Linked DNA regions of Anolis sagrei. The protein of the gene in region 1 interacts with the protein of each later gene in a pairwise test. Links are inferred from orthologs where the notes say so. Each region holds a gene or a part of one and is shown in the gene's direction. Other genes may lie near its edges. The genes, in order: RBBP8 and RBL1.

The links.
Region 2: the proteins of RBBP8 (region 1) and RBL1 interact in a two-hybrid assay, tested with the Homo sapiens proteins (2 studies listed by BioGRID and IntAct). The link is inferred for Anolis sagrei from reciprocal best matches to the Homo sapiens genes RBBP8 and RBL1.

The regions. Positions count from the first base shown.
Region 1 is NC_090024.1:59,989,162-60,005,188, reverse strand, and holds the start of RBBP8 (DNA endonuclease RBBP8), read left to right. Parts: upstream 1-9,364; 5' UTR 9,365-9,697; intron 9,698-10,640; 5' UTR 10,641-10,728; intron 10,729-16,027. UniProt on the Homo sapiens protein: Endonuclease that cooperates with the MRE11-RAD50-NBN (MRN) complex in DNA-end resection, the first step of double-strand break (DSB) repair through the homologous recombination (HR) pathway.
Region 2 is NC_090024.1:207,657,466-207,673,572, forward strand, and holds the start of RBL1 (retinoblastoma-like protein 1), read left to right. Parts: upstream 1-9,709; 5' UTR 9,710-9,781; coding exon 9,782-9,934; intron 9,935-13,541; coding exon 13,542-13,675; intron 13,676-14,957; coding exon 14,958-15,158; intron 15,159-15,734; coding exon 15,735-15,799; intron 15,800-15,880; coding exon 15,881-16,009; intron 16,010-16,107. UniProt on the Homo sapiens protein: Key regulator of entry into cell division. Directly involved in heterochromatin formation by maintaining overall chromatin structure and, in particular, that of constitutive heterochromatin by stabilizing histone methylation.

The DNA.
Region 1 (16,027 bases):
ATTAAGGTTTCTGCTGAACCCTGTTCCCAAATACTGATAGATCTTGAGTGCAGGATTGTGCCTTAAGTATTATCCTTCAAAACACCCCAAACTCTTGGAACACACATCTTATAATGAAATCATACATAAAGTTTTAATGTAACAAGAGAAACATGCCTGTAGTGATGTAAGGCATCTTGATTTATGATAATTATATCACACATCTCTAAAAACACTATTTGAGCCAGTTTAAATGCTTGAATGTTTGCCCACAAGCTATACTTGAGATTTCACATATCTGATAAGGGCCAGGTTGAAAATATGAATTTACATAAAAATTATGTAATTACAGAAAATTACATCAGAATCCAAAGTGCTGTGAAAGCATGAACAAGGGCTTGTATGTAACCAGTGAAATATGGGTGTATTTCTTGTATCTTTATAACAGTATTTCAAACTACTTTGGCTTCTTTCCCTGTTTTAGACCTGTTTGCCACAATTGCATGAGGAGTTTTTGAGCACACAGCCCTAGCTGTGCAGTTCTGGAGATAATAGGTTTTAATTTAAGTTGTCCTCTGTTGTAATAACAGAGTTATCATTCAGGTTTCAAGCAATATTTTCAGGACAGCATCCACAGAGAAAGTGTTTCATAACCACTCTCAGGCTCTCATGATCCAGCCTGACCATGACTCTGAGAGGATCTCCTCCACTGCAGAAGAATAGAAACTCAAAGATATATGGAACAACTGGAAACAGTTGAACAATTGAAGTTTCCCAGAACCACCTTGCCTACTCCTCCTGTTTACCAACACATACACACAGTCCCAAGGCCACGCCTTTAGCTCCAAAGTGTCATCTCAACCCACCCAGAAGCCAAACCACCATTTGGTCCACCAAGCACTCCAAAGCCAACAGTCAGCTCTTCAATTGAGCTCAATGTGTTTTGGAAATAGCAACCTTCCAAGCCTCCACTAACTGTTTGTAAATGTGTATAATTGTTATGACTGGACTGACCTTGAAGGAGCTGGGGGTGGTGACAGCCGACAGGGAGCTCTGGCGTGGACTGGTCCATGAGGTCACGAAGAGTCGGAGATGACTGAACGAATGAACAACAACATAATTGTTAACCTATATTGTATGTACATTTTGGTTTGCCAATTTGACTGTACCTCTTTGGTGTAGGAGGGGCTTCAGACACAGGACTTCATTTTGGGTTCGGTTTGCATCATACCTCAGTGGAGGTGGATGCATATTGCTGTTTGGACTTTAGTAGAGAAGTATGACTTATGGACTTCAGTGAGTGCAGATATACTTAAAGACCATGGACAAATGATGATAATACCCTGTGTACTCAACACAGAGAAGAAACTACATCTTTCTTAAACTGAACTCTATTAAGAAATGTGCCTGTATGGTGAATTAATGCAAGTTGTTTATGAATAAACAAGATATGTTATTTTTCAAAGAAGACTTTTTCTTATCTCTGAAACCTTTAACTAAGAGATTTCAAGGGGGTGTATTTTTTGGGCAATTACAACTGCAATTTCAAATCAAAGAAACAATCCTCATCTGCTAACCAAATATATTTTGGTAGTGCATGTCTTTATCTTTGGCAGTTTAAAGACATGGTTCTTCAGTTTAACAGCTGAGTTACCAGTGTGCCATTACATGAACACTTGTGAATATAATTTGTTCAAAGGGTAGACTTCTAACAAGGCCATGCTTTTCTTGTTTAGTGGTTTTCAAAAGGTGGTCTCCATATGTCCATGAAGATTCACATTTGCCAAACGGATGTAACTTCATTTTTACCTTTTCAATAAGGTTGTGGTGCATTTACTTCCAAAAAGTTATGGAATTTCCAATAATGTGTACTTGGCACAGAAGGGTAGAAACCAGGAAAGGGACACAAGAGCATTGTGATCTTCAGGACAATACTGGAGGGGATGGAGAGGCGATGAATATCTTTCCAGATCATCTGCTGGATCACAGTGCCTGTGGATTCCTTCCCTGGGTTCTCTTCATCCCATAAAGTCATAACTGGTTTCTGATCTTCTTTCTTTTTTTAATGAAAACATATAGTCTGTTTTCACGGGTCTAAAGATCCAAAAAGCACTAATTCCTTTGTGATCTTTCGATGTAAGCAGGGTCAGGTCTGGTTAGTACATGGAATAGGAGACCGTCAAGGATTAACAGTTACTGCAGGCTATTTCACAGGAAGGCAATGCCAAACTACCTCTGAATATTCCTTACTTAAGAAAACTCAATAAAATGTATGGGATAAATCAACAGACAACCTAAAGGAACATACACAACTCTTTTCACAGGATGTGATAAAGTGGATGCATCTTTAAAGACAGTGGGGATTTATTAGTCTTCTCGTGTATCTTTATCAACAGGTGCAGTTTTGCTTTTACAGCATGGAGTGTGCACTCACAAAATCGGAGAGAGACACGGTGGCTCAGTTCCCAGCCCTGGGGGAATTCATTTGATCTCAATGTTCCTGTAAGACTTACATTGAATGGGTCAGCTTTGCCCCAGCAAGCCTCTTTTTCCTCCTGAAAATAATGTGGTTTGCCCAGTAATTCAAGCACTGTCACTCCAGAGGAAAAAAATATCAGATGGTGGTTTGCAAGTTCATGAACTCAAATTTAACAAAGCTAAACTGTTGATCCAACACTTAGTGTCAATCTTGGGCTTTTCATGAAAGTCAGTGTTCCACATCCTGTGCACAGATTAGAAACACCCAGATGCACATTTTCTCTCTAGTTGATTTAATTACACTGATGGTAGGAAAATCTAATTTCCTAGGAAGCTTTATTGCTGTGCTTTCCAACTCGATAGCACTGCAGGTGGTTAATTGGTATGTGAACTTGGCTATGAGGGGAAAATAATAAGTGATCACTCAAGCAAGTACCTAGACCTACATTATTTCATGGAACATAGAAAGCTTTGCTGGATTCTCTCAAACAGTGTGTAGAGCTATCAGAAGCCAGCAAAGAAAGCACAAACAAGGCAAAGCATCACAATTATTCAAAAGCAAAGACTACATAGAAGTTATCATTCCTACAACAAAAAATCAAAACTTGGGGAACACACACATATCGCTCCCAGAATGCCCAAAGAACATGGCAACATTTAAATAACTTCAATAGCACCAGCACTTATCTTCAGCTGTGCTCAGTTAAAACAGGACATTTCTGCAGTATTTATTTTCTTTCAAGTCCTAAAATGGCCATGCCATTTCACCTGCAGATGTGTGGGGTGCTACATGGTACCCCACATGTTCTCCCTCCTTCCCCCATCATATGGTGGGCATGGGACAAGGTGCATATCCTTGACCTATCATATGGGTGAAAGGGTGGCAACCCATGTTGCCACGTTTCCCTTTTCCCCATCAAATGAGTAAAAGGGCAAAAAAAAAATCAGGCAGCACATCAGAGCTACCCAAAACACACTTTCCTCTCCGTCTGTGGAGGAGGAAGCATCTTGTGACGCTTCCCCTCCACTTCAGGAGGAATAGGGGTGGGACCAAGCCAGTGTCATTTGATGGCACTTGGCAGGCCCCATCCAGAAGAAGGAAATAGGGCCACAAAAAACCCAGTGTGAAGAGGTCCCTAGAATGCTGGTGAATCTAGTCTCTTCTTTCTATCATTGCATCTTCTCTCATCTTCTGCTTTTGGATCTTCCAAAGAATCGTATTTCTTTGTTGGAGCGTTTTAGCGTGCACTTTTTTAGATGTCACTTTTCAGTTCCTGAAACCTCCTCCAGTCTACCAGAGTCCTCCATTAAAAAAACCCAAAAAACAAAACACATGCACACACAATGTGTTCTCAAAATAGCAATTAGAAGTACTAGTCATCTTATCACGGTTGAACTTTCTGAGCAGTCTTCAAAAGCAACTCCACGTAGAGTGCATTGCAGTAGTCTATTAGGGATATAACAAGAGCATGGACTACTGTGGCCAAGTCTGACTTCCCAAGGTACGGGCACAACTGGCACGCAAGTTTTAATTGTGCAAAAGCTCCCCTAGCCTGAGGTTCCAGGCTCAATGATTAATCTAGGATCACTCCTATTGAAAGGCTGAGATGGGGTGTGCCCTCCCAGACATTGGGGGGGGGGGGGGGTAAAATAATTGGCCCTTGATGGATATGCAGTTGCCCACTCCTGACTTAGACCAAATGCAGATTCCAACACATGTAGGATTTGAAAGATGTTTTTAAAAGCATGAATTGGGCTAAGAAATTATCAATCAACAAGGGTTATTTATTTTTACAAGTATATTGTTATTTTTAACCTGCTTTTATTTGTATTTTGCCATGATATTATTAATAAAATATGTTTTAAAATACATCACACATACTATTGATACATATCATAATCCAGAATTCCGAATCCAGACTGCCTCCTACATAAAAATGTTGCAACTTTAATTCATCAGTGTCTATGTCCAAATGACAGCTTTGGGGTTCCTTGTCCTACTAGCGAGTATTGTGAAAATATGTGTTGGCTAACCTTCTCAGGGATTTTATCCCTGCTCCTGAGGGCCTTTCCATACAGGGACCCCATCCACACGCACTTTCTGATGTGTACAAATGATATGCCAGGAGAAGGGGGGGCAGGAGTGATTTTCCTCCTCCACCCCCCTTTCTCCTGGCATGTCATTTGTACACACCAGTAGAATTCCAGCAGCTGTCCCATGGAGGCTGGGTGAGTTCTTTTCTCTCTTTAGAGGGCTTTTGAGGAGGGGTTGGTATTCCCACAATTTTCCAGGCTAATTTAGCCTGGAAAACTGTGGGAATACTGTCTGGACAGTATTCTGCTGTCCAGACACCAGAAGTAGTGGGTTTGTCCTGTGTCTTCCAAGAAAGTGTGGAATAAACCCACTATCAAATCAATTTACCACAAACCAGGGTTTTCCTGGTTTGTGGGAGATTAATGCAAGTTTGTCCAGGACGTCACCTGGACAGCCCCTTTTTTATTGCGGTAACTCCCGCAGTAAAAGAGCTGTCTAGATCCACCCTGAGACTCCACAGATTTGTTCATAAAGCTTCTGGACATATTTCAATATTGTATTGTGCATTTTTATAATAAAACCTTGAATGTTTGTGCATACATTTACCAAAGGAGCAAGTCAGCACCTGTGTCAGCTGCTGCTTCTTTAAGAAAGATTGTGAAATTCAAACTCTTTCACCTTAAGACACATTGCTGTGTTGCTCTATAAAATGAAGTGCTCGCTAAGCACAACGTGCTAAGCACAAAAATGAATTCATGGATTTCGCGTGTAGTGAAATAATTAAGGAAAACCTGTCAACAACAGGGATTATAGGAAATGGTTTGATCAGAACTTCTCCACTATCAACCAGTGAGTAACACCATAACACAATATCATCAAAATCTTACTAACAAACAGGTTAATGAAATAGGCAAGACAGAGTAAATTGTCTCTAAATGTTTTTATGATTAACACTACCTATGTTGCAATCATTTTCACTGTATTTTTTATTCCATAAGAAAGGCATTATTTAAGGGTTAGGAGCTTGCAAGCATGTGTGTTTAAAATCCTGTTTTTGATGGTTATCACTACCTATATTGTACTCATTTTCATTGCCTTTCTTTGGGAATAAAAATACATTATTTAAAGGTCAAGAGCATGCAAACGTGTTCTAAAACCCTGGTCACCATTGTAGTTGTGAACAGAAAAGCAGTATGGGAAAGGGCAAATTTACATTAAAAAGGTAGCAATATGAACTTTGATTTTTCTTCACCTACCAGTAGTTCCTTTAAAAAATAGTCGTGTTACTTTGTTATAGCATAAAATGAAAAAAGTGAGAGAATGAAAGAATCAAGCAGCAACTTTCGGAGTGAACTTTTGCCAGAGACAAATTTATGCTAGAAAACACATCTGGAATCCAGGAGAAAATTTCTTTGGAGAGAGGAAAGTTTGAGTAGCAAAATTATAAGAAGGAGAGGGTTAATGATGCATCTACTTCACCTTAACATGTCCTGTATATACCAGTGGTTCTCAACCTTCCTAATGCCATAACCCCTTAATACAATTCCTCATGTTAAGGTGACCCCCAACCATAAAATTATTTTCGTTGCTACTTCATGACTGTAATTTTGCTACTCTTATGAATCGTAACGTAAATATCTGATATGTAGGATGTATTTTCATTCACTGGACCAAATTTGGCACAAATACCCGATATACCCAAATTTGAATACTGGTGAGGTTTAAGGGGCATTGATTTTGTCATTTGGGAGTTGTAGTTGCTGGAATTTATAGTTCACCTACAATAAAAAGCATTCTTAACTCCACCAATGATGAAATTGAACCAAACTTGGCACACAGAACTCCCATGACCAGAAAATACTGGAGGGATTTGGGAGGAATTGACAGTGATTTAGGGGAGAGCATACCTGCTCTCCTCTCCCCACTTGGAGTCTCAGAAACAGACCTTCCCTTGGCTGAGAGGCCAGCTGAGAGTCCGGCCAATCACAGGAGGAGGAGGGCTTTTGGTGAGAGCATTTTCTATCTGTTTCCAAAAAGGAAGAGAAGGACAGGTGGAGAGATCTTCAGCCTTCTTTGTCAAAGGGGTTCGTAAGACCATCAGAAATATGTGTTTTTTGATGGTCTTTGGTGACCCCCCCCCCCGGAAACCCCCTCATGACCCCCCCCCCGGGGTCCCCACTTTGAGAAACGTTGGCATATACTTTTTTTCTAAATTGCCCCCTTTCAAAACTATTTTTGATAATCAAACTTATTAATATATAGCCTGGTCCTTGAACACTATATTTAATTATAAAGAACACCTCCAGCAATCAGTACTCTTCTTCATGATATGCAGTATGACTTTAATCCTACTCATTGTAAGCCTGTCTACATCATCAAAACCATTTCCTACACCACATATAACTGAAACTCTTCTGTTCAGGTCTACTGACCGAGCTCAATTCTGAAAACAATAGCCTGAGGTCGTATGGCTGTAATGTAAACGCTGCACATCTGTTGTACCATTAGAACTGTTCTACTCTCTGTAGCTTCTTTTGGGTTTGTTTCCATTCTCTAAATCATTTGCAACCTACAACCTTGACTGTATGCTATGTTAATATTTGCATTTCAACACAAATGATTTAATTAGACTTTTTTCCTTCCACACCTGGAAAAAATTCTGCTAAGGTTGATGAAATGATGACAGCATGATCCAAAGTTAGCTGAACCGGTAATTTAGTATGTTCCAACAACTAATCATTTGGAAAGTATAATTAAAATTTTCATGTTAGAGCTAGATATGTGAGCCAATACCTTTTGTCACTTTTTTCCCAAGTGTATCTGAATGAAAAAAACCAGTCCATGATATCTGGTACATTTGAAGATCTTTATTGTAATACTGTGAAGCTGCATCTACACTGTAAAATTAATGTAGCCTGACACCACTTTCACTGCCATGGCTCAATGCTATGGAGTCATAGGAGTTGTAGTCTTCTTTGCCAAACAGTGCTTCACCAAACTATAAATCCCACAATTTTATGGCATTGAGCCATGGCAGTAAAAGTGGTGTCAAGCTGTCTTAATTCTATAGTATAGATGTAGCTGCAGCTGTCCAGGCAGGTCTTTTACATTGATGGGCATTTTTATCTGGTGATATAAGCTTCAAAGGGAAATTAACATGATAATCCAGCAAGCACTGTGCATGGTAGGTAATTTGTTCTTCCATCTCACAGGAGAAATCCAATTCTGGAGATAAGGATCATGTAATCTCTCATAGAATATGAAAAATAAAATATGTTTTAAAAGTATCATTCAAAGATGGAATATTGGTAAAATCTTGCTGCTTTTTGTTTCCCTTCAAAAGAAAATATGAATGCCCTTCTGTTGAAATCTTATAACAAGAAAGAGATCATTTTCCAATACAGCTAAATAATGTTAGGCGCCTTCCACACAGTGGAATAAAATCCAGCGTTATCTGCTTTTAAAGGAATATATGGCAGTGTAGACTCGGATAATCCAATTCAAAGCAGATATTGTGGGGTTTTCTGCCTCGATATTCTGGGTTATATGGCTGTGTGAAAGGGCCCTTAGAACCTATGAGAAATTGGTTTGGGGCAGACGGTTATATCCTTGTCCTTCCCTCACCTGTTGTTTTGTCCTTCCCTGTACATTTTGCCTTCTCTTCCACTATCTCAGTTTTCCTTCACTTCCCTTCTCTTCCCTGTTTTCTCTGTACTACTCTTGCTCCTTATTGTTCATTGCTGTGATCAGTATAATAAATGTTTTCAAGACGGAGCTTGGGATGCTTTCTGAATGGCAATGACTGAAAGTAGCATTTCCACCAAGTTGATCATCCCGTTAAAGACAAGTAAAAATCACTGGGGTCATTGGATATTGTGTCCCCACCAAACAATTCTGATCTTTGTGTTGTCAAAGGCTTTCATGGCCAGAATCACTGGGTTGCTGTGAGTTTTCTGGACTGTATGGCCAATGGCCATGTTCCAGAAGCATTTTTTCGTGACGTTTCATCCATATGTATGGAAGGCATCCTCAGACCTCATCACCTCTGAAGATGCCTGGCATAGATGTGGGCAAAACACCAGGAAAGAATGCTTCTAGAACATGGCCCTACAGCCCGAAAAACTCACAGCAACCAAATCCTGATCTTAACGGTAAATGAGAAAACTGAATTTCATTAGGAATTGGATCTCTACTTAAAATTAAAGTTACAAGGGCCTTCTGGAATGCTACAAACAATGGATGCTTGTAAAACCTTAATAGGATACAGTCTGTTGGAAATTAGGGCTATCTTTCTGTTAGCACATTGCAATGCTTCAACGTGTTTTGCAACTTAGTTTTACATGTATCAACACACATCTCTTCTGACCTGCCACTCCTGCATTAACTCTGTATAGCAAACTAAATACTATCAAACATTGCTCCAAAAAGAGCAACGTTTTTGTGTTGCCCGCACTTTAATCGTATGTGTAACATAATATTTCTATTTCTATTGGTTACTGGAGCTTTTGCTACCAACATCTAAAAATACTTCAGGCTTGGATCCCAGTTTGAGTACTGTTTGTAAGAAATGGAAATGCTGTTTAATTGAAGTATCCTTTTCTTATTGGTTTCTTTGCATTTGTTTCTTTTCTTTGGATGACCAATGCAATGCTTATCTATCAACCGCTCCATCTAGAAATGTAATAAAAAAGCTTTGCAACAATAGGATGTTGCTGTGTTTGATATGGTTAGGGATACAGCACTCCCCAACCCTTTGGTAAATTGTTTTGCTGGAGGCTACAACATTCTCTGTTGGGAGTTGGTGGAGGCGTGAATAATTCGCCACTTATGAAGCTTCAGAGCTGAGTTGAGCCGCAGCATGTTGAGCTGCCCTTTGATGCAGACTGGTTGGACGGGTTCTTGCTCTACCCAAGAACCAGTTTGACGGGCCTGTTATGCCAACAAATTCTGGTATGATTCCATGTTCCAGAGAATTCAGAAACCTGCCCAGCCAGTTAAATGAAAGACATATTAGGTTATCCATTGCACATTGTGTATATCCGAGCTGCAGCAAAACTCCTCTCAGCATTCTCTAGTGTGGTCCACGGGTGATTTTATAGCCTTACCTTTCCCAGCTGGTATGATCAGGGGAAGAAAACATTAAATAACCCACCACTGCTGCTCAAGAGCAGAGTCAGACTGAACATTTACAATCAAAACAAAAAGGTAAGTATATAACGTCTCCCTTAATGCTGAATAGTCAATTTTAAGACCTTAACTTCAGACGTTGTGCCAAGAATTTTAGATATACTGCTGCATGCTTTAGTTGGGTATTAATATTATGTTGTATCATGTATATGACTCCTGCTAATATCATTTAGTGGTTCTCTTATGGGGCTGTTCATCACGTTAGTGGGAATGCAGGTCAAAGCATGAAGCAAGTCATGAGACATGCAAGGATAGGTAGCCAGAATGTTATCCTAAACATTTGGTAAGACCTTTAATTTTCCTTGGTATATAGTGCAATCCCTACATGTAAGTTCAAATTACTTAATGCCAAGGTAAATGAATACAAGATAGTAATATTAGCTTCTATATGTGAAATGTGTGGTAAATATATTGGTTTCACTATGGCAACATAATAAAGAAAAATGCTTAATATATGATTGTCAAAATGATGCTTTTCTTATAAGATGAACTCATAACACATTAACAAATACAATGGATTCAATTCACATATCCTGCCACACATTGATGCCTGGCACATGTTATAAGTTGCATGGAGAAAAACGAGTCCCTTTATTATATAGAGATTATACTGCTATCATATCCAAAATAAAATAGGTTCCTCATCTGTAGCCCCAGAAGAATGAGTTAAAATTGAGGTCTATGCATTTGTGATTTTCCAAGTTCAAATCAGAATTATGACAACTTTGAAAACAAAGTCTATAAAATCTGGTAACTGATTAACCAGTTTCCTGGGAGCAAGTTCCACTTAACTCATTGGGATTTACTTCTGAGTAGACATGTATAGGATTGTGCTCTGAAGCTAAGAATTATACTGGGCTGAGTTGAACAGAAAGGAATGAAGACAGGTTTTGTCATGCCTGTTTGTACAAAATAACTTTTGTTTGAACTAAAAGTGACTCTTCCTATCTCCTCTTTAAAGCAGGAAAAGGGGGATAAATCCTGTACTGTGTGGTCTCTTCTCATGAAAACTAGTGGATTTCAAACAAAATAAATAAAAAAATTATGAGGTAAGTAAAATACTGGCTGTTAATAATATATGGTTCAAAGCTGTTTAATAGATCTAAATAGCCTGTTAGACCTCAGGATAATCCCAGAGAGGAAATGTCAGCTTGATATGTGGCTATCCATGCTGATGAAGAGTTGTTTTTATTATTCCTTGGGAGGATGCAAATGTCTGTCATCTGATATAGCACTAAGCAGCATATTGCAGTGTACAAGGGAAAGCCACATATTTTTTAATAAATGGGATAATATATCTTCACCATTCCAAAAACTAAATTTTCTGATGTTGTTAATGTATTCCTTAATTTTAAATTTTAACAGCTCTTCTATGTCTGTTGATATAGAAGTCCTACTATATTCACCAGAGCTGTTGTGAATCTTAACTGAATAATATTGCAAGAAAGATGAATAATATTGCAGTAAGATTCCAAGTTAAGGATAAATTAGATCACATCTTATAGCCATCTTCAGCTAAATAGCATCTATATCAGGCATGGGCAAACTTTGGCCCTCCATGTGTTTTGGGCTTCAACTCCCACAATTCCTAACAGCCTACTGATTGTTAGGAATTGTGGGAATTGAAATCCAAAACACCTGGAGAGCCAACGTTTGCCCATGCCTAATCTAGATATGCTTAGTTGGAAGTAAGACACATTGAATTTAGTGGTACAGTACCTGCTTATGAGGAAAGATTTATAACAGTACTGCATCTCTTATCAAAACTACTATATAGCTTATTATATTGTTTTATATTTAGATATATATATAGAGAGAGAGAGGGGGAGGTTTGGACTACCTACAAAGTTAGCCAACAAGGTTAGGCTGGCTCTACACTCTAATCAGTTTGACACCCCCTTCTTCCTTTACTTTACATGGTTCATTAGAACTTAAGTATTTCTTATATTTCTGGCTGGGGAAAAAGGTGAATGAAAACCCAAGTACAGGACTGCTCACAAACAAAAGGAATAATCCTATGCCAAGATTATTCTGCTTTTGCACTGTTCCATAGTGCTGGCAAATCATTTCATATGTAAAGCAGGAGTAGGCAACTGTTGAAGTCATAGAGGCCACATTAGCCCGCCAAGAGACCTTGGAGAGACAGGCCCCTGTTATACCTGATCTCATGGAAACACCAATTTTGCCTGTAAAGTCCTGTAGAGGACACAGGGGTATGTTTTGGAGTCTTTCCGAACCCTAGAAAGCATTTTAGTCATGTTGAGATTTTTTAAAAATTGAAATTATTTGCAAATTTGTGAGAGATCCACAAATTTCCAAAGGTTTGTGAAAAAAACCCTCTATATCCCCCTAAAGAGCAATTTAGTGGTGGGGGATAAGTCAATTTTTTTTATACCCAGGACCCACAAATACAAAATGTGGGGGCTGCTTGCACACTTGCCCACTTCAATGGAAAGTATGTCATATGCCATGTTCAACTAACTTTTTATGGTGACATGCTTTAAATTTTCATTATACTGCAGTCTATTATCTAGAGTCCACAGCATGACCTATGTATGTCAACTCAGGAGTAAGGCCCAATGTGTTCAACCATGGCTTACTTTAAGGTAAGTTAGAATAGAATTCCAACCAGGCAGTGAGATCCTATAGAGGAGGAGGAGGAGATTCTATGGTGGAGCATCTGTCACATTTAAAACCCAGCAAGCATGATGTATTCAGGAATTACCCCCCCCCCCTCTACCTACCCGTGCTTTTCTTTCTTTACCTCTTCCCTGCCTCTTTCCTTTTTTCCCTTCTTTTTTTTAACTATTGCCCCTCTTTTACTATATGTATTTGGAAAAGTGAATAAAGATTATTTTAAAAAAAAAAAGGAAAGAGGTGTTTTCCTCTTTTGCCCTCCACAAGTTGACTGCAATGGGAAGAAATTAACTAAACTAACTTCGGAAATAATTTGTTCATTACTGACTAATTTTCTGAATGTGTTTGTAGCTTTGGTTCCTGTAGATTTATGGCCTTCTCTGAAGGTTCAGTGCTTTTCTTTGCTACTAACACATTCTTCTATCCATTTGCTCAGCAGATTGAAGGGCTGTGGTTCAGAGAAAAGAGTCAAAAAGCTGGCAAACCTTCTGTGCCACAGGAGTGGCACTTATGTCAGATGCTATAGTCCCTCAGGGAGCATCGTCAATTGTTCTGTAGTCTCTGTCCCTGTAATACTGATGAAGCAATTGCACTTTGCATATAGCTAATTTAATGCTAATTCAAAGGGAATGTTAATTCAGTGAAACCAACTCCCTGATAAAGCAAAATGAAATGGTGGCCCGAGGCAGCCAATTCTGAGTGCTATTAAAAGTCAGCAAATTATAAGTTGTCTAATTTATTACCTTTTACAGCTATCTTTTTAAAACAATCATATGTATGTGCCATTACATGTTGTTTTACAAAATTTAGAGCTTAAAAGTATAATTTTATTCAGGTTGCATACAAACAAGAATAGTAAAGAAAAAAACTCATTCTCTTAGAGGCAGTATTGGAAAATGTATATCTGACAGATGACCTTGAACTGCAACTTCCATAATCCCTCACCATAGGGAACACTAGCTAAGGCTGATGGTAACTGAAGTACAATATTTGGAAGACAGTCAAGTTAAAGTGCAATTGCAGAATTCTTGTTGCAGTTCCAAAGAGCATTTTTTGCTCATTGCTTGGGATCATCAGCCCAGGGATAAGAAATAGAAACATCTCTGTCATGCTACTTTGTTTTAAAAAGCAGATTATATTAAAGTCTCTGGTGGCAGTACCCATTCTATAGACATATACACACACACCTCTGCTGTGGGAGGAAATTGAGACAGTAGCAGCAGCACACACATTTGTCCCTGACCCTCCCAAGACTGACAGGCTGTCACTATGTCACTCTTTCTCCAGCACTACCATTTTCTCCTTACAGCAGTGGTTCCTAACCTGTGGTTCATGGACCACCAGTGGTCTGCAAGAATTAAAATATGGTCCATGACCTCACCGTTGCAACTAAAGTGACTGGTCTCACAAAGCCCTCTTATAGTGCCAAGTCTTATTAAATATAGTTTTCTGTGGGTGAGCAGATGGTGACTACTGGATGGCATATGTTCTATATCAGAAACTAGAGCTGATGTGGTCTATCCAATGCAGTTTTCTGAATCAGTGCTCTAAATAACCAAACCAAATCTAAAGTTGACAAAAAACTGATTCATAACCATTTTGGTACTAATATTGGAGAGTAGTCCCTGGTCAAGGGGTCAAAAAAGATTGGGAACCACTGCCTTACAGGGACTGGGATATTAGTCCTGTTTAGCTCGTGATCTAGGGGTTTGCCTAACTATACTCCAGGAGCAGATTTGTGTTAACCACTGTCTAATACCCAAATCCTGCATATAGAACTGATCTCTCAATGGGATTTAACCTTAATGTATAACTGCAGCCTATGTGCAGAGCTAGAAATATTAAATGCTTTTGATTTCTGTATAGCAGGGTATGTTTTTGGCCATCCTTTGAAATTTCAGGGCCTGAATTTGGAGGGTGAGGTTTATGCATCCTTCCAGATACTACTGGATTGCGGTTCCTATCAATTTCAGTCAGCATAGCCAATGATGAGGAATGCTGGGTGCTGTAGTCCAAGAACACCTAAAGGGCCACAAGATTGTCTGGTTTAGTCCAAGACTTCTAACACAAATGTTTAGGGTTTATGTTTCATGGAAACAGATTGACAAGAGATTTCAGAATGATACATAATTCATAAAAAGGACACATCACTGAACAATTGAACAATGACACACAGGACAAATACTGAGAAATGGAAGCTGTATTTCCAAACCTATTATTACATACACTCTGGCCAAGAGCAATTAATCCTTCATCCTGTTAGGCATGTATATATTTTTTAAAAAATACATCCAGAATCACAGTATAAAGCAGTGGTTCTAAACCTGTGGGTCCCTAGATGTTTTGGTCTTCAACTCCCAGAAATCCTAACAGTTGGTAAACTGGTTGGGATTTCTGGGAGTTGTAGGCTAAAACACCCGGGAACCCACAAGTTGAGAACCACAGGTATAAAGTGTTAAGGAGGCATACATTTTGGGGACACACTGTATGTATGTAAACATTGTGGCACAAGAAATGTCTCGTGCATGTAACAGATATGTTTGTATGCAATTCACACAACAAATTATTTGTGCATGTATGTGTGCATTCCTGAGAAAAGCTCTCTGTTCTGAAAGCATTAGCTATTTGTACTAATCATTCACAATTTCAGCCCTTGCTAGGAAGCCAAGTCTTTCCCATTATCTGATTGTCATACTAAACATACAATAATCATAGTTCCTGTTTTATAAATGTCCAATTTTTTCCAAGTTAAGATGGCATGCATCAGATCTGTCTATAATGGATTTTATGATAGATCTGGATTCAAATCTGGCTGACGCAAGAGATCCATTTAATCCCTTGAACCTACATAAGTGTTTACTGGAATCAACAAGTCTACTCTGGTTAGAACTGATACCTAGATATGAGCCTTACCAATACATTTTACCAGATTTTCTTCACCAAAATATAAGTAAGTTTATTCAATCCCTAAAACAAATTATAGATACAGCAGCATGCTTCTGGGGCCCCTTCTACATAGCTGAACGAAAACCCAGATTATCTGCTTTGAACTGGAATATATTGCAGTGTGGACTCAGGTAACCCAGTTCAAACCAGATATTGTGGAATTTTCTGCTTTGATATAGCTGTGTGGAAGGGCCCTGAGACTCATTATCCTTGCATTTCAAGAGTTTGGTAACTCACTTAGCAAATACAATTATTAGCCCTCTATACCCACAGGCATATATTCTATATCCACGGAATCATCCATGGATTGAAACAATGTTGTTGTTTTTAATCCTAAAAGCAAACCATTTTATATACAGTATATCATTTTACATGCCATTGTATATAATGGGTCTTGGGCAGGTCACTTTAAAATCTATCTTCACAGTAACAATGACGATGAGAACTATAACCGGTATGTAAACTTATAGAAGTATAGATAACTAAGATATCGTTTTGGTGGTGTATTGCAATCAGTAGAATATTTTAAGGGCGGTATCAAAATTTGGACATGAGATCATGGACATGTTTCAAGTGTGACACTAGTCCTTTTCCCACACTTTTATGGTCTAGGTGTGGACCTTTATTCCTTTTAGACATGTGACAAAAGTGTCAGGAGGATTTGGTTTTATTACAAGCCTTGGGATGTTTTCTAAGTGGTATACTTATTTTGGAATTACTATGCCATAGAAAATATATTCATATGTCTGAGAAAAATATAATCTG
Region 2 (16,107 bases), about 150 Mb from region 1:
CCCCCTGGGACCCCAGCTGCCTTGTTAAGACTGGAATTAGATCTTCCCTCAATTAAGGCAAGAATGCATAAACTCACCATCTCATATGGGAAGAGACTGCTAGGAATGGAGGAGGCGAGCATAGCAAAGCATTGCTTGAGGGAGCAGTATAAACGGGGAGGATGGGTGCAATCTTGGCTAGCCTTGCTCCATCAGTATTTTGATGGGTCAATAACAACTCTAATGCAGCTGGACAAGAAGGAGATTAGTGATAAAATCTTTGAGATGGATGCAGCTGGCAATTTGGAGATTAGTAAAAAGCAAGGTTTTTCTACATGGTATCCCAGACTAAAGAGTGACCAATACTGCCAACAATATCTTCAAGATCTTACGTCACCAGTGTTGAGGAAAGCCTTTACAGCCCTGCGCTTCCAAACAATGCCCTCAAACTGGTTAGAAGGGAGATACAAAGGGATCCCCCATGCCCAAAGGCTTTGCATTTGTGGCTCTGGGGTTAAAGAAGATCTAACACACTATCTATTACACTGCCCTTTGTATAATGATCCCAGAAAAAATCTTCTGGGAACACTCCTGGAAGAAAGGGCAGCATGGCATGAATCGGCCGTGATCGGTGACTTGCTGGCAGATTATGACAAAAATGTAACACTAAAAGTAGCCACATTCGCAATTGCAGCCCAAAAGATCAGAGACAGAGTAGCAAAATCCTCGTTGGAGTCCAGATAGGGAAAGGGAGAAGGTTAAGGAGGACACATATTACTGTTAGGTTTCTGCCAGCAAAATTTTAAAGATCTAGTTTTAAATTTTGAATGGGTTTCGGTTTATATTGGAATGTGTTTATAAAGGTTGTATGTTATGATGTCATGGCCTATGGCTAGTGCAATAAAATTTATTCATTCATTCATTCATTCATTCATTCATTCATGCTGCTATCTCTGTTAACTAACGTTTTGTTCAGTTTTGCCTCCAGTGGAAGCAGAAAGGTTTTTTCAGCTGTTGAATCCAAAATCAATATAATTTATTTATGTAAAAAAAAATCACTTGATATATTTTTGAACCTTTTAAGTACTAACTTTTTATTTAGCAGAAGAACATGTACTTGCCCTAAATCCTTAAAATACAAATGCTATAAACCTTCATATATCTTGAAAGCCTTACTGTGAATGGATGCAGATCTCTCTCTCTTGAGTCTATTTGTAATATATAAATAAGGATTACTTGCCAGGGTTTGACTTGTAAGGAACAGGGTTGAGAATGAAATTTAGTTTGTCAGCATGTTCTATATTCCTTGTTCTTTATTTAACGTGTGTCTGAGTATGTAGGATTCTTTTTGACTTTTCACGTGTGATCCTTTGGCAGTGATGGAGCTGTTTCAGCTTGTTTACAGTGAGACATCAGTGGCTTTTGAAACCATAACCATCTTCAAAAACAATCACAAATTTCACATTTATTTCATAAACACACATAGATGCTTCATCTAATGTGCTATTAAAATAAAACTGTCTGTGCTTGTAAAAATTGATAATTAGATTTTAAAATCAGATTTTTAATTTAGTGCCTATGCTATGCGTTTTTGAAACTTTCACAGAGCCTTGCAAGAGATGTAAATATTTTTTCTAGGAAATCTATTTCTGATTGTTTTGCTTGACTTGCAACTAAACATGATTTGCCTTTTTCTCAGCATGAGCACTGTTTTGGCCTGTAGCTTAACTTTATTTCATATTGCATACCTTTTACCCAAGAAGCTACTGCTGTATGAACTATGCATCACTTTAGCACCATATGGGAATTACTGCAGTACAACTGGCTCTCCGTATTCACAGATTATTTATTCAAAATCCAGCCATCCATAACTTGGAAATATTCCTCTTTCTTCCCCTGAAAGAAAAATCCACAAAAGTAAACTTTGATTTTGCCATTCCATATAAAGGACACAATTTTATTGCACTATTGTATGTAATGGGACTTGAATATCTACAGATTTTTGTATTCAAGGGGACCTGGAACCAGACCACAGCAGATACCAGGGGTCCACTATACAATTTCGCTCATCCCAAATATCAGACAGTGCTCTCATTTTTTGTTTTTGTTTTTAATTTTCCATCTTTCTCCAACACTGGGATGCAAATGTAGTGTAACATTCTGTGTTACTTAGGTACAATTGTCTTAATTGATCCATACTAGACAACTACTGTCAACATGTTTCCATCGCCAAGGCCAGCAGACTCTCAAAAAGTTCTCTGTTACAATCTTAACAGTTTATGCATATCATAAATAGTAAATTTGCTGATATGTGTAATTAGCAAAATTAAATACCTATGGTCACATTTTTAGACCCTCAGATTATCAATTTATTTTTTGCTGTGAGAGAGGATGCTTTTAAAATTAGGCTTCTGATAATTTGCTTTAACGTTCCTTAAGAGGTCATCCTTTTAATATTCTAATGACTACAAGTGTCATTATTACTCAAGTCTGCTACTCCTCTCTTTTTTTAGAAAATGCAGGTACATTTGCATTATACTTCAGTATCAGGGTACTGGGTATTCAAATAATTATAGTGAACAACAAACCGACCAGCATACAAGGAGCTAAAATCCAGATGCTGGCCAGTTTGTTGAATGTAAAGTAATCTTAACAGCCAAACAAATGTGTTGGTACACAAGAGAGAAAAAATCCCTCTAGAGATTTTGTTTACTGTCGTAGTCACTGCGAATCGTACATTTGGTAATCTCTGCGCCTGCGGAGCAATTACCAAATGTACGCATTCGCAGGTGACTACTCAGGAAACTACAGTTACAGGTAAGCAACTTATAATTTCACCATATCGATGTTTGTACATTGTGAACAGCTTTAATTGTCCAGAAACCATTATAATAATTTAATATATCAATCATCCTCAGTGTTTACAGCTTTGTGAATTGTCTCTTCTCTGATAAATGTCCTTTCTTTTTGGGAAGTAGGATATCTCTGAGACATGACTGAACATGAGGTCTAGAGACCCTTTGAGTAACTTTGGCCAACATAGGAACGAGACATCCTATTAGGCTGCACATGCCGCGTTCCTTTAAGCCTTAATTTTCATTTACCACTAGTACCACAAATCAAGAAACGTATCATTGTCTTCTCTGCCATCTCAGAAAAATGGAAATTTATCAGAGATGAATGTACTTCTCACCTCTGTACACCTTATTACAGAGAAAAATACAGATTTTGGACTGAGCCCTTAGTCCATGTCTCCACTATGGTAGCCCTGTGGTAGCAGAGAATGATAGCAGTAATTTCTAGGTAATTTTGATCAGTAGATCCTATTTCCTTAAAATATATATATATAAAAGAAGAATGAAGATGACCAAATGACTTTCTCCAGAGGGGGAACCATGACAAAATTCTAGAAATTAATTAAAATGATCAAAGGTCTGGAGACCATGCCCTATGAACTGGGTGTGTTTAGCCTGCAGAAGAGAAGGTTGAGAGGAGACATGATGACCATGTATAAATATGTGAAGGGAAGTTCAAAGGAGGAGGGAGCAACCTTGTTTTCTACTGTCCTGGAGACTAGGACGTGGAACAATGGCTTCAAATTACAGGAAAGGAGATCCCATGTGAACATTAGGAAGAACTTCCTGACCATACAAGCTGTTCAACAGTGGAACTCTCTGCTTTGGAATATGGTGGAAGCTCCTTCCTTGGAAGCTTTTAAACAGAGGCTGGATGGCCTTCAGTTAGGGATACTTTGATTGTGCTTTTCCTGCATGGCAGGGGGTTGGACTAGATGGCCCAAGTGGTCCCTTCCAAATCTGTTATTCTATAATTCTATGATTTTTGGAAGCATGATACTGAGTTTTACACAGGTTGTTGCAAAGGCTAATTGCCTAAATTATTATTTTGTTGCAAGGGCTAATTGATTAAATTATTTTGCTGACTATTCTTTATTGATTAATTGATTGATTATATAATAAAATTAATTTTCAAATCAACAATTCTAACTGAGACATTTAAGGAAATATCAGACGGCCCAGCCAATTTACAATGAGGAACAAAAGTTCACAATTTTACAGGTTTCTATGTTCTTCAAAGATCATTTGTTTTTATAACAGTTCAACTTTTCAGGACCCAACAAAAGAGTTCCAGATGTATATTTAATTCTTAAGTGGAGTTTAAATTGCCTTTCTGATTTACAGCTCAAATAAAGCACTAACTGATTAATATGTCAATCTAACATTACATCAGGATTTTAAAAAGTTAGAGTCAGGGTATGAATATTTGCTTTTTCTGATTTAAGGGGAAATTTCAGGGTCCCTACTGTGCTGCACCATGATTCAGTAGAAAATAGCATGGATTTTTTTTTGTTCCAGTACATTAAAAAGCACATCCGTAAAATAAAAAATATTTGCTTTTGTCCTGACATACATTTTGAAAACAACGATTTGGTGAAATAATTTACAGTGTTTTAAGTGAAAACACTGCAGGTGAACTGTGTAAATTCTGCAGCTGGACCTAGCCTGCAGAGTATTTTAAACTAGAAGCAGCTCCATGGCACATTCAGATGTGAGTCACACATCCCCGGTAAGTGATGCCAGTTTCTAATGGAGATGGTCACCTTCTGAAATGCTGTTTCAAACATGCTATTTGTTCAGTTAGATGAATGAATAACTGCATGATATCAGGAAATAGTTAAGTGGCAGGTATGCATGCTTGTATTTAGCCATGAAGTGAGCACCTTATACATATTAGCACATTAAAGGGTTTGAAGAGCACAGCAATGCAAAAGTGAAGTGAGCTGCTCAAATCTATTGAAACAAAGCACAGACCTGCATTTCCTTGAAGACCAAGACTATCAGATATATTTCTGTGCTACTATCATACTTTTTTCATCACTCCCTGAGCACTTTTGCATAAAGGTGTGGCTGTTAAATTAAAATCCATTGTGTATTCAGATGATTGGTGAGACTTTCTTTTGGTTGTATGGAATCCCTGATGGGATAATAAATTTCAAAATTAAGCATCCTGTACAGCTAAAGAACCAATTTAAAAAACAAAAACAAACCAAGAGTGAAACCTTTTTTTCTTCCAGTATATTACATTGGAAAAACATACGCCTGTGAAATAGATAAGTAATTGTGATGTGAGCATATCAGAGCTAGTGTTAAAAAACAAACAAACCAAGTATAAAGGAATATGCAGTAGTTCTTCTGAAACTGATTTATAGCTATCCTAAGATATGTAAGAACATTGTTAACTGTTGTCGAGGTGACTTATGACGACATTCTGAATGAGCTACCTCCCAAGTCATCCTATCATCAGCAGAGTATACAGAACTGAATATCAGCCATACCTTCTCGGGGTGTGTTTAATGCTGTTGACACCGCTTTTAACTACAGTACTGTCAAACGACTATGGGATCCTGGGAGTTGTAGTTTTACAAGATCTCAACCTTTTTTTTCTACCAGAGCATTGGTGCCTCACAAAACTACAAACTCCCATGATTCCATAGCATTGAGCCATGACAGCTAAAGTGGTGTTAAACAGCATCAATCTTCCAGTGTAAACACATCCCTGTATGCTCCATTATTGCTTATAAGTTTGTCAGTAATAAGCACCCTGTAGGCTCGTCCAGATAGGTAATTCAGGTTAACATGAGAGGCACATATCAACTTAAATCCTTGGTGATATAAGGTTTCCTCAATCACATTTTACACACCACACAATTATAACGCTTTGATACCGCTTTGCAGCAAGTTCATGCTATGGAATTCTGGAATGGGTTTCGTTATTTTGAATTGCATGTGACTGTATACTTCTTACACAGGAGTGTAAGCAACTGAGTAATTACCAGCTACTTTCTGTACTAATATTTATTGTGTCAGCGAATAGAGAATACAGTTATAATGTATAAAAAAACACAAAGTTTTTTGTTGTTCATTCGTTCAGTCGTCTCCGACTCTTCGTGACCTCATAGACCAGCCCACGCCAGAGCTCCCTGTCGGCCGTCACCACCCCCAGCTCCTTCAAGGTCAGTCCAGTCACTTCAAGGATGCCATCCATCCATCTTGTCCTTGGTCGGCCCCTCTTCCTTTTGCCTTCCACTTTCCCCAGCATAATTGTCTTCTCTAGGCTTTGCTGTCTCCTCATGATGTGGCCAAAGTACTTCAACTTTGTCTCTAGTATCCTTCCCTCCAATGAGCAGTCGGGCTTTATTTCCTGGAGGATGGACTGGTTGGATCTTCTCGCAGTCCAAGGCACTCTCAGCACTTTCCTCCAGCACCACAGCTCAAAAGCATCGATCTTCCTTCGCTCAGCCTTCCCTAAGGTCCAACTCTCACATCCGTAGGTTACTACAGAGAATACCATGGCTTTGACTAGGCGGATCTTTGTTGCCAGTCTGATGTCTCTACTCTTTACTATTTTATCAAGATTGGACATTGCTCTCCTCCCAAGAAGTAAGCGTCTTCTGATTTCCTGGCCACAGTCTGCATCTGCAGTAATATTTGCGCCTAGAAATACAAAGTCTGTCATGGCCTCCACGTTTTCTCCCTCTATTTCCCAATTGTCAATCATTCTTGTTGCCATAATCTTGGTTTTTTTTTATGTTTAGCTGCAACCCAAACAACAAAGTTTAAAACTTGGCATTATACTAAATTTCCTTTGACAGGAAGCTAGCCACTTGGAGTGCCACTAGTGTTGCAGTAAGCAGGTCCTCCAATGTGCATGTGGCAGGGATCAAACTGCATGGTAGTAAGAGGTCTGTAGTTTGCTCTTCACACTTGCAGGTTGTGGACTCTGCTTTGTAGCCCTATTTCTTAAGGTTGGCTCTGCATCTTGTGGTCCCAGAGTGCATTCAGTGCCTTCCAAGCCAACCAGTTTTTTGTGTGCTTCGGAGGAGGTTTCTAAACCAGTATCAGCCATTGATTGACTTCCGGGTTTAACCTGCCACTTTTGGACTCTTGCTTGTTGAGGCATTTCTGCGACTATCTCTGTAGATCTTAGAAAGCTATTTCTTGATTTAAGATGTTGGCATGCTGGCTGATAATCTGTACAGAGGATGGGCCGGAGATGTCAATGCCTTGGTCCTTTCATTACCAGCTGCTACTTTCTGAAGGATATCATGTGATGCAGTACCGGCTAAACAGTTATTTACTTACTTAGGCGATCCCTTGTTGTCCGAGTAGGATAATCCTCCCGGGTGGGTCCATAGGTGACTATGGAGCCCTGTTCTTGATCTGCATCATCTCCCGCAGTGAGGGCATTGGTTTCCAGGTGGAAGGTGGTCCCGGTCGGGGTTGGCTTGACGCGCCTTCCTCTTGGCATGTTTCTCTCTTTCGCCCTCCATTCATGCCTCTTCAAATTCTGCAGCAGTGCTGGTCACAGCTAACACAGCTGACCACAGTTGAGCACGGCTAAACAGTAGACAAGAGAGATTTATATATCTGTGGAAAGTCCAGGGTGAAGAAAAGAACTGATCTATTGGATGCAGGTGTGAATTTTGCAATTAAGCACCTTGATTAGCATTGTAAAACCTTGCATCTTCAAGGCCTAGCTGATTGCTTGGGAGAATTTTATTTATGTATTTATTTACAGTGTTTATATTCCACCCTTCTCACCTTGCAGGGGATTCAGGGCGGATTACAATGTACATACACATGGCAAATATTCAATGCCATAGACACACAACATATATACAGACAGAGGCTATTTAACATTCCAGGTTTTCATGAGGGTATTCTAGCCACCAGGGGAGCTGTCCCTTCACAGACCATTTTGTGACACTGATGAAGTACTTCCTCATTCTTTGCATGCTTGCTGGAGATTTTTATGGCCTCGTAAATTAGTTAAATTTGCCTCCCCACATAAGCAGTACTTAAATTTCCTACTTGACAGATGCAACTGTCTTTCGGGCTGCAAAGGTCAACAGCAAGCCACACAAAATTGGTCGGAAGCTCACTCCGACCCAAGCTGGCTTTGAACTCATGACTTTTTGGTCAGTAATGATCTTAATGCAGCTGATTCCCAGCTAGCTGCGCCACAGTCCTGGTGCACCCTTTGTTGGGAGGTGTTAGCTGGCTCTGATTGTTTCGTGTCTGGAATTCCCCTGTTTTCAGAGTGTTTTTCTTTATTTACTATCCTGGTTTTAGTTTGACTTAACACCTCCCAACAAAGGATGCCCCCAGGCAGAAATCGGCCAGGTCATGAAGATGCAAGGCTTTTTAATGCCAATCAAGGTTTGTTTGTTTTGTCGTGTCAGGAGCTACTTGAGAAACTGCAAGTCGCTTCTGGTGTAAGAGAATTGGCCATCTGCAAGGACGTTGCCCAGGGGACGCCCAGATGATTTGATGTTTTTATCATCCTTGTGGGAGGCTTCTCTCATGTCCCTGCATGAGGAGTTGGAGTTGATAGAGGGAGCTCATCCGCGCTCTCCCCGGATTTAAACCTGCGACCTGTCGGTCTTTAGTCCTGCCAGCATGGGTTTAACCGGGATTGTGGCGCAGCTGGCTGAGTGACAGCTGCATTAAGATCACTCTGACCAAAAGGTCATAAGTTCGAAGCCAGCCCAGGTCGGAGTGGGTTTCCAACCAATTGTGTGTAGCCTGTTGTCAACCTTTGCAATCCGAAAGACAGTTGCATCTGTCAAGTAGGAAAATTAGGTACCACCTTAAAGTGTGGGGAGGCTAAATTAACTGATTTATGAGGCCATAAAGAAGACTCCAGCAAAGTATTCCAGCGGGGAAGCATGCGGGGAACGCGGAAGTGCTTCATCAGCGTCGCAGATGGACGATGAAAGCGACAGCTCCCCTGGCAGCCAGAAAAAGTTAAATAGCCTCTGTATATGTTTGTATGTCAAACATTGGCATTGGATGTTTGCCATATATGTGTACACTGCCATATATGCCATATATGTGTGAGTCCCCTGTGGGGTGAGAAGGGCGGAATATAAAAGCTGTAAATAAATAAATAAATAAATTGACACACTGCGCCACCGGGGGCTCCAAGCCAGGCTTGATGATGCAAGGCTTTTTAATGCCAATCAAGGTGATTGATTGCAACATTCACACCTGCCTCCAACAGATGAAGAGTTTTTTCGCCCAACCTGGACCTTCCAGATATATATACCTTCCCTTGCTTCGTTGCCAATATACCTCACAACCTTTGAGGATGCCTGTCATAGATGGAGGCGAAACGTCAGGAGAGAGTGCTTCTGGAATATGGCCAACCAGTCCGGAAATCTCACCGCAGCCCATTGTACTAATGTACTTTATCTACATTAGTCTGTTGTCCCTCCAAAAAAACACGAGGATAGCCCACATTTTATTAAGTTTCCAACCCTTCAACACCATCCCTAGAGACTAGGCTTGGGCAATCCATGGTTCTAAATGGTTCTAAAGTACTTACAAAACTAAAGTTCTGGTGATGAAAATTTCAAAACTCTAACAAAACTCTCAAAATTTCATTATAAATGGCAGTTCCTAATTGGTTCTGTCATAAAAATCGCCAATAATGAAATAAGAATTACATTTTGAAAGTTTTGTTAGAGTTCTGAAATTTTCACCACCAGAACTTTAGTTTTGTAAGTACTTTAGAACCATTTAGAACCATGGGTTGCCCAAGCCTACTAGAGACTATTTTGGAGCATGCTGCATAGAACTCAGCTCAGAGCGGAAGAGGAGGAGCTCAGGGTAGGCCCCGCCCCCGGTGATGACGCGCAGTCCCTTTTCCCGCGTTTGGCGCAAAGGCCTGTGGGGCATGGCTTGGGCTGAGTGGAGGAGCCGTGAGGGGATGCTCGGCCGCCATGCCGCGGGGAGGAGGAGGCCCGGGCCCCGCTGTGCCATGCCCCGCCCGTGCCGCCCTCGCCCACCTCTGCCAGGAACTCAACCTGGACGCCGGCAGCGCCGCCGAGGCCCTTCGGGACTTCTCCGCGCTGAGGGGCACCTACAGCCTCGAGGTTCGCTCGGCCTGCCTCTGTCAAGGCCTCACCGGGCCTAGCGCCTCATCACTGTCTCTGTCTCAAGCTTCGGCCCGCCCTCCAGGTGTTTTGGACTTCAACTCCCACCATTTCTAACAGCCTCAGGCCCTTTCCTTTCCCCCCTCAGCCGCTTAAGCGGCTGAGGGGGGAAAGGAAGGGGCCTGAGGCTGTTAGGAATGGTGGGAGTTGAAGTCCAAAACACCTGGAGGGCCGAATTTGACTCTCTTTGAATATTATCAAATTATGTCTTTATTTGGTACTAGCCGTCCCCTGCCACGTGTTGCTGTGACCCAGTCAGCTGATCTAGAAAATAAAGTAATTAGAAAGAGTTGGTTTCTAATACACTATAGTCTTCCCCTGCCACGCATTGTTGTGGCCCACATGGGGTTTCTGTGTGGAAGGTTTGGCCCAATTCTGTCATGGGTGGGGTTCAGAATGCTCTGTGATTGTAGGTGAACTATTAAATCCCAGCAACTACAACTCCCAAATGTCAAGATATATTTTCCCCAAATTCCATCTGTGTTCATATTTGGACATATCGAATATCCGTGCCAAGTTTGGTCCAGATTCATCATTGAGTCCACAGTGATCTCTGGATGTAGGTGAACTACAACTCCAAAGCCAAAGGACTTTGCCCACTAAACCCATCCAGTATTTTATGTTGGTCATGGGAGTTCTGTGTACCAAGTTTGATTCAATTCCATCATTGGTGGGGTTCAGAATGCTCTTTGATTGTAGGTGAACTATAAATCCCAGCAGCTACAACTCCCAAATTACAAAATCAATTTTTTTGAGTGAAGGACATACATTGGGTTGTTAGGTGTCTTGTGTCCAAATTTGGGGTCAATTCATCCAGTGGTTTTTGAGTTCTGTTAATCCCACAAACGAACATTACATTTTTATTTATATAGATTTAATTTCTTTATGCTTATGGGTCAACAGTATTTCTTGCCGTTTCTTTGTCCGTGTTGATGTGGAGAGTGTCTGGCTTGCCCACTCTGGAACATGCAACATATAATTGTCCTAATTTAGGAGTCCCTTTCAAATCTATGATACTATATCTGTGTGTGCGTGTGAATCATAGATATCTATATCTATGGCTGGATGGGTCTTTGTCAGGATGGCTTTGATTACGTTTTCTTGCCCTGGTGAAGGGAGTTGGACTGGATGGCCTTAAGTATGGGGGTTCTGTGTGGAAAGTTTGCCCCAATTCTGTCGTTGGCGGGGTTCAGCAAGCTCTAAATCCCAGTAAGCACAACTCCCAAATGTCAACATATATTTTCCCCAAATTCTATCTGTGTTCATATTTGGGTATATGGAATATTCGTGCCAAGTTTGGTCCAGATCCATCATTGTTTGAGTCCACAGTGCTCTCTGAATGTAGGTGAACTACAACTCCCAAACTCAAGGTCAATGCCCACCAAACCCTTCTAGTGTTTTCTGTTGGTCGTGGGAGTTTTGTGTGCCACATTTGGTTCAGTTCCATCATTGGTGGAGTTCAGAATGCTCTTTGATTGTAAATCCCAGCAACTACAACTCCCAAATGACAAAATCAGGGTTTTTTTGAGTGATGGTCACTCCTTGGGTTAGTTGGTGTCTTGTGGCCAAATTTGGCGGCAATTAGTCCAGTGGTTTTTGAGTTCTGTTAATCCCACAAACAAACATTACATTTTTATTTATTTAGATTTGAGATTTCAACGTCGTTCTCTGTAAACCGATAATGTGCTTTAGATCATATTTACATCCACTTTGTTGATTTGGATATTTTTTTAAAAATTCAGGCAGGTTTTTCAAGAAGGAGGTTTCTACGTTCATGTCAGGGAATGCTGTGGTTTTATATGTTTATGGATTTAAGGTGGCTGTGATTGTGCAGCAGGTCAAATTAAAATTATGTTGTATATCATAATTTAAACTATTTTAAACAACATCACTCATCATACTTCCAATGCATTTACACTACTCAGACTCTTTTATTATGTTAAATGTGTATGATGAGATGTATTTATGATAAAATGGTTATTATTTAAGTTTATCAGTTTATTGATTATTATTTTTGTTGATCTGTTTTGCTTGTTTGATATGGCATTGAATGTGTGCCATTTTTGTTCTGGAAACTGCCCTGAATCCCCCTGGGGAGATAGGACGGGTTACAAATAAAAATTATTATTATTATATGCCAACCTAGGAGTTTGAAAACATGCAAATGTGAGTAGATCAATAGGTACAGCTCCGGCAGGAAGGTAACAGTACTCCATGCAGTCATGCCGGCCACATGACCTTGGAGGTGTCAATGGACAGTACTGGCTCTTCGGCTTAGAAATGGAGATGAGCACCCCCACCCTCCGAATCGGACTCAACTGACATGTCAAGAGGAAACCTTTACTTTTATGGATTTAATCTGAATTGTTTTTAATATGAATAATGTATAATTCTGTTTTAATATTTGTATATTTTAAATTGTGTGCTGATGTTTTTATGTATGGAGTCCCCTGCAGGAGAGATAAATAGGGGTATAAATATATAATAATAATAATAATAATAATAATAATAATAATAATAATAATTTTCCCTTGGGTTTTGTTGGTGTTTACTGTGGTGTGTAACAAATCTTAAATTAGCACATCATAAGGTAACATAATAAGAAGAACCTTTATTTTTAACTCGCCCTCTCTCCCTGAAGAGACTCAGAGTGTGTTACATAAACAAAATGAAACGACAAACATTCAGTACCGTGTGCAATAATAAAATGAAGATATTTAAACGATTAAAGCAGGTTGAACGACTTAGGCTAAAAGCATATAAATCGATCCAACAAGTATCGTAACTAATAGAATTAAGCCGTTAAAATCTGTATAAAATATATAGCTCTTCGATAAAATAGCAGTCATTGTTGTTGACAACTTCGTCCACTAGAATGGAGTTGATGTATGTTATTCCTCCTCTCAATAAGCTAATGAACAGAAATAGGTTTGTAGTTGTTTCTTGGGGGAGAGGGAGAGGGGGTTGTTTTAATTTCTTTCGAAAGGGAGTTCCAGAGGGATAAGAGTGATCACAGAGAAGGCCCTCTCTCATTCCCACCAGTTGTGCTTGAGGTGGGTGGGATTGAGAGGAGGGCTCCCTCCACTGATTGCAGGGTCCAAACAGATTTGTAGACAGGGATGCGGGTTGCCAAATACTCTGGGCCTGAACATATCCTAAGAAGAAGCTTTTGATGGTAATCATTGGGAAAGCTGTCTTTAGAAGAAGGTGTTTGGATGTTTTTGAACCTGCGACCTTTCGGTCAGCAAGCTCAGCAGTTCAGCAGCTTAACCCACTGAGCCACTGGAAGCTCCAGTGTTGACTTTGCTTAAGTCCAAAATCATTGTTTTGGAAAATGTTTGTATATGAAAAGAAATATATAAGAAAAAAAGGAAGTGAGATTTTAACCTATACATTCAAATCTGCAAAAGTTAAATCCACAAACGTGAAGGGTCAACTGTATTTTTTCTAAAACATTTTGCAGATATTGTCACATGTAGAGTTTAAATGGTAGAATACGGGTTGAGTGCTGTTACTCTTGAAAACTTTTAGTTATTTATTTTTCCAGGGAGAAACTGTACATTGGCTGGCTTGTGCTCTGTATGTTGCCTGCCGTAAGAGTATTATTCCCACTGTAGGAAGTGGTTTGATGGAAGGAAATTGTGTCTCACTGACTCGGATATTGCGCACGGCAAAATTAAGGTATGGTCTTGGATTTTTTATTAATCTTTAGAATGAAAACAAGTTATGTATTTACTATTTTAAAAAAAGAAATCAAAGCAAACTAGCTAATGTGGAGAAGAGTACAGCCTCAGAGACAAAAAAAATTGAAACTGGAAGTTTTGAAATATTTGTATGCCAATTACACATTCATGGTCAAAACAGTATTTGAACTGAGCTATTTATTAAAAATGAAACTGCTTGGTTAAACACATGCATTTAGCAGGTGCTGAAGCATCATGAAGAATGGTACCTATTGTCCTTCTGGAAGATACTTGCAGATTAAATACCTTTAGGTTAACAGCTCCCTTTTCCTATTAGCTTTCCAAGCAATATATGTATGCATGTGTGTTTTGCAGAATGTGTAGCAATAACAATTGGATTATCATAATACATTATAAAACCAATCACATTATAGTGAATTATTATTATTATTATTCCACTTTTCTCCCAAGGGTGGGATTCAAAGTGGTGTAGTGAATGTAGTTTCATATTATATAACTAAATTATATTTGACTCTGTTACTAAAACAATTGATAAAATTAGATTGAACAAATGAAAGGTACTTCACTGAGTGATCATATAATGTTAGTTTTCTAGCTTCTTAACTTCGGCTCAGTAGTAAAAATCCCAACTCAATTAAAGAACGTTCGTGATAGCATCAAAGGTATCATTTGGAACAAGCAAAATTAACTTAGTTATTCAATGTAATTCCCCAAATCACAAAAGAAACCCTTGATTGAGTGAGATTACTACATCATTTGCAATATATACACTTTTTTTTGCTCAACTATTACTATGAAGAATGATAGGTTTAAAAAGTGGAGAAATTTCATGGTTGTTTTTCACCCTGGTATTGTAAACATTCAGAAAAACCAACATGATTTAAATACTGTTTTTAAAATTAAAGTCGCAGTTGAATTGGAAACACTTGCTGTTATCTACAGCAAACCTATTGAAAAACTATGAGACTGATTAGTATAGATGCAATCACATTCATTTAGATATGTCTGCTCTAGTTGAGGCAAAAAAATTAATTTAGCCTTATCTAGGTTTTTTTTTTCACTTGACTTTTTGTCCTAAGAATTGTGCAATGTATCTGGAGGAGAGAGATCCAAATTTCTTCATAGTCCTGTGATGTAAGTGGCTTGAGCACATTTATATTGGTCCAAAACAGAGAGTTATTAAAGAACCTTGTATGTTGAAAAAATCTAGAGAACTATTAGGAGGAAAATACACTTTAATGTTTTGTTTTTCTTTTAAGTTTAATTCAGTTTTTTAGTAAAATGAAAAAATGGATGGACATGTCAAATCTGTCTCATGAGTTTCGAGAGAGAGTGGAAAGACTAGAGAGAAACTTTGAAGTGTCCACTGTGATTTTCAAGAAGTTCACACCAATATTTTTGGATATATTTAAAAATCCTTATGAAGAACAACCAAAGCTACAAAGAAGTAGAAAACAGAGGTAATTGCTGTGCCAGGGGTACTTGGATACTTGGATTTCATATAGTATGAAAGAAAAGAGATTGTTTATTCTCCCTTGGTGTATGGAAGGCATCCAGGAGTAGTCTTGTCCTCCCACTCCTTCTGATAGACAGGTTCTCCAACTGATCAGTTTGAAGCTCTGGCCCCTCACTAATGGGGAATACGAACTCACTTTGGGGCCTGGCCTGCTATTTGCCTCCTCTCTTTTCAAATATTGGAGAAGAGAGCTTTGTGTTTCCTTCTCTCTGGCATTTGAATCTCTTCTCCTGTTCTCTTCTTTCCCTTGTTTTTTTTAGATTTTCTTTAGATTTTTTTTTATAAAAGGCTGTTTTTTTCTAATTTACTTTTTTTCTTTTTCCCTTCTCTGTTGTTACTCCTCATCTTCTTTCTCCCACGCCAGCCAATTGGTGCATATTTCCCAAACTTTCTGGGTTGGCAGATGGATTTAATTGCCTCTGGGGAACAGGGAGACAGACACATGTACAGCACACTGGCAGGAAACATGGGCAGACCTGCTTATCTTTAGTTTAACTGAAACTTGTCTTTCTTCCAATAGGCGGATACCCTGTAGTGCTAAAGATCTGTTCAATTTCTGCTGGACGCTATTTGTTTACACCAAAGGTAACTTAATCCCTCCCCCATGTTCATTTTGAATGTGATTTTAATTGTGATTTAATTGACCTAATATTGTTTCTTCTAAAGGTAATTTCAGTATGATCGGAGATGATCTGGTGAATTCATACCATTTACTTCTGTGCTGCTTAGATCTGATTTATACAAATGCACTTCTATGCCCACATAAAATAGATTTACTGAATTCCTCTTTCAAAGGTATGATCTTGATTTTCTCTCACTAAAATACCATTTTCATATATCTTTTGAAAGACATGTATCTTTGTGGGGGGAAAAACTCTTCTCACTTTCTGCTT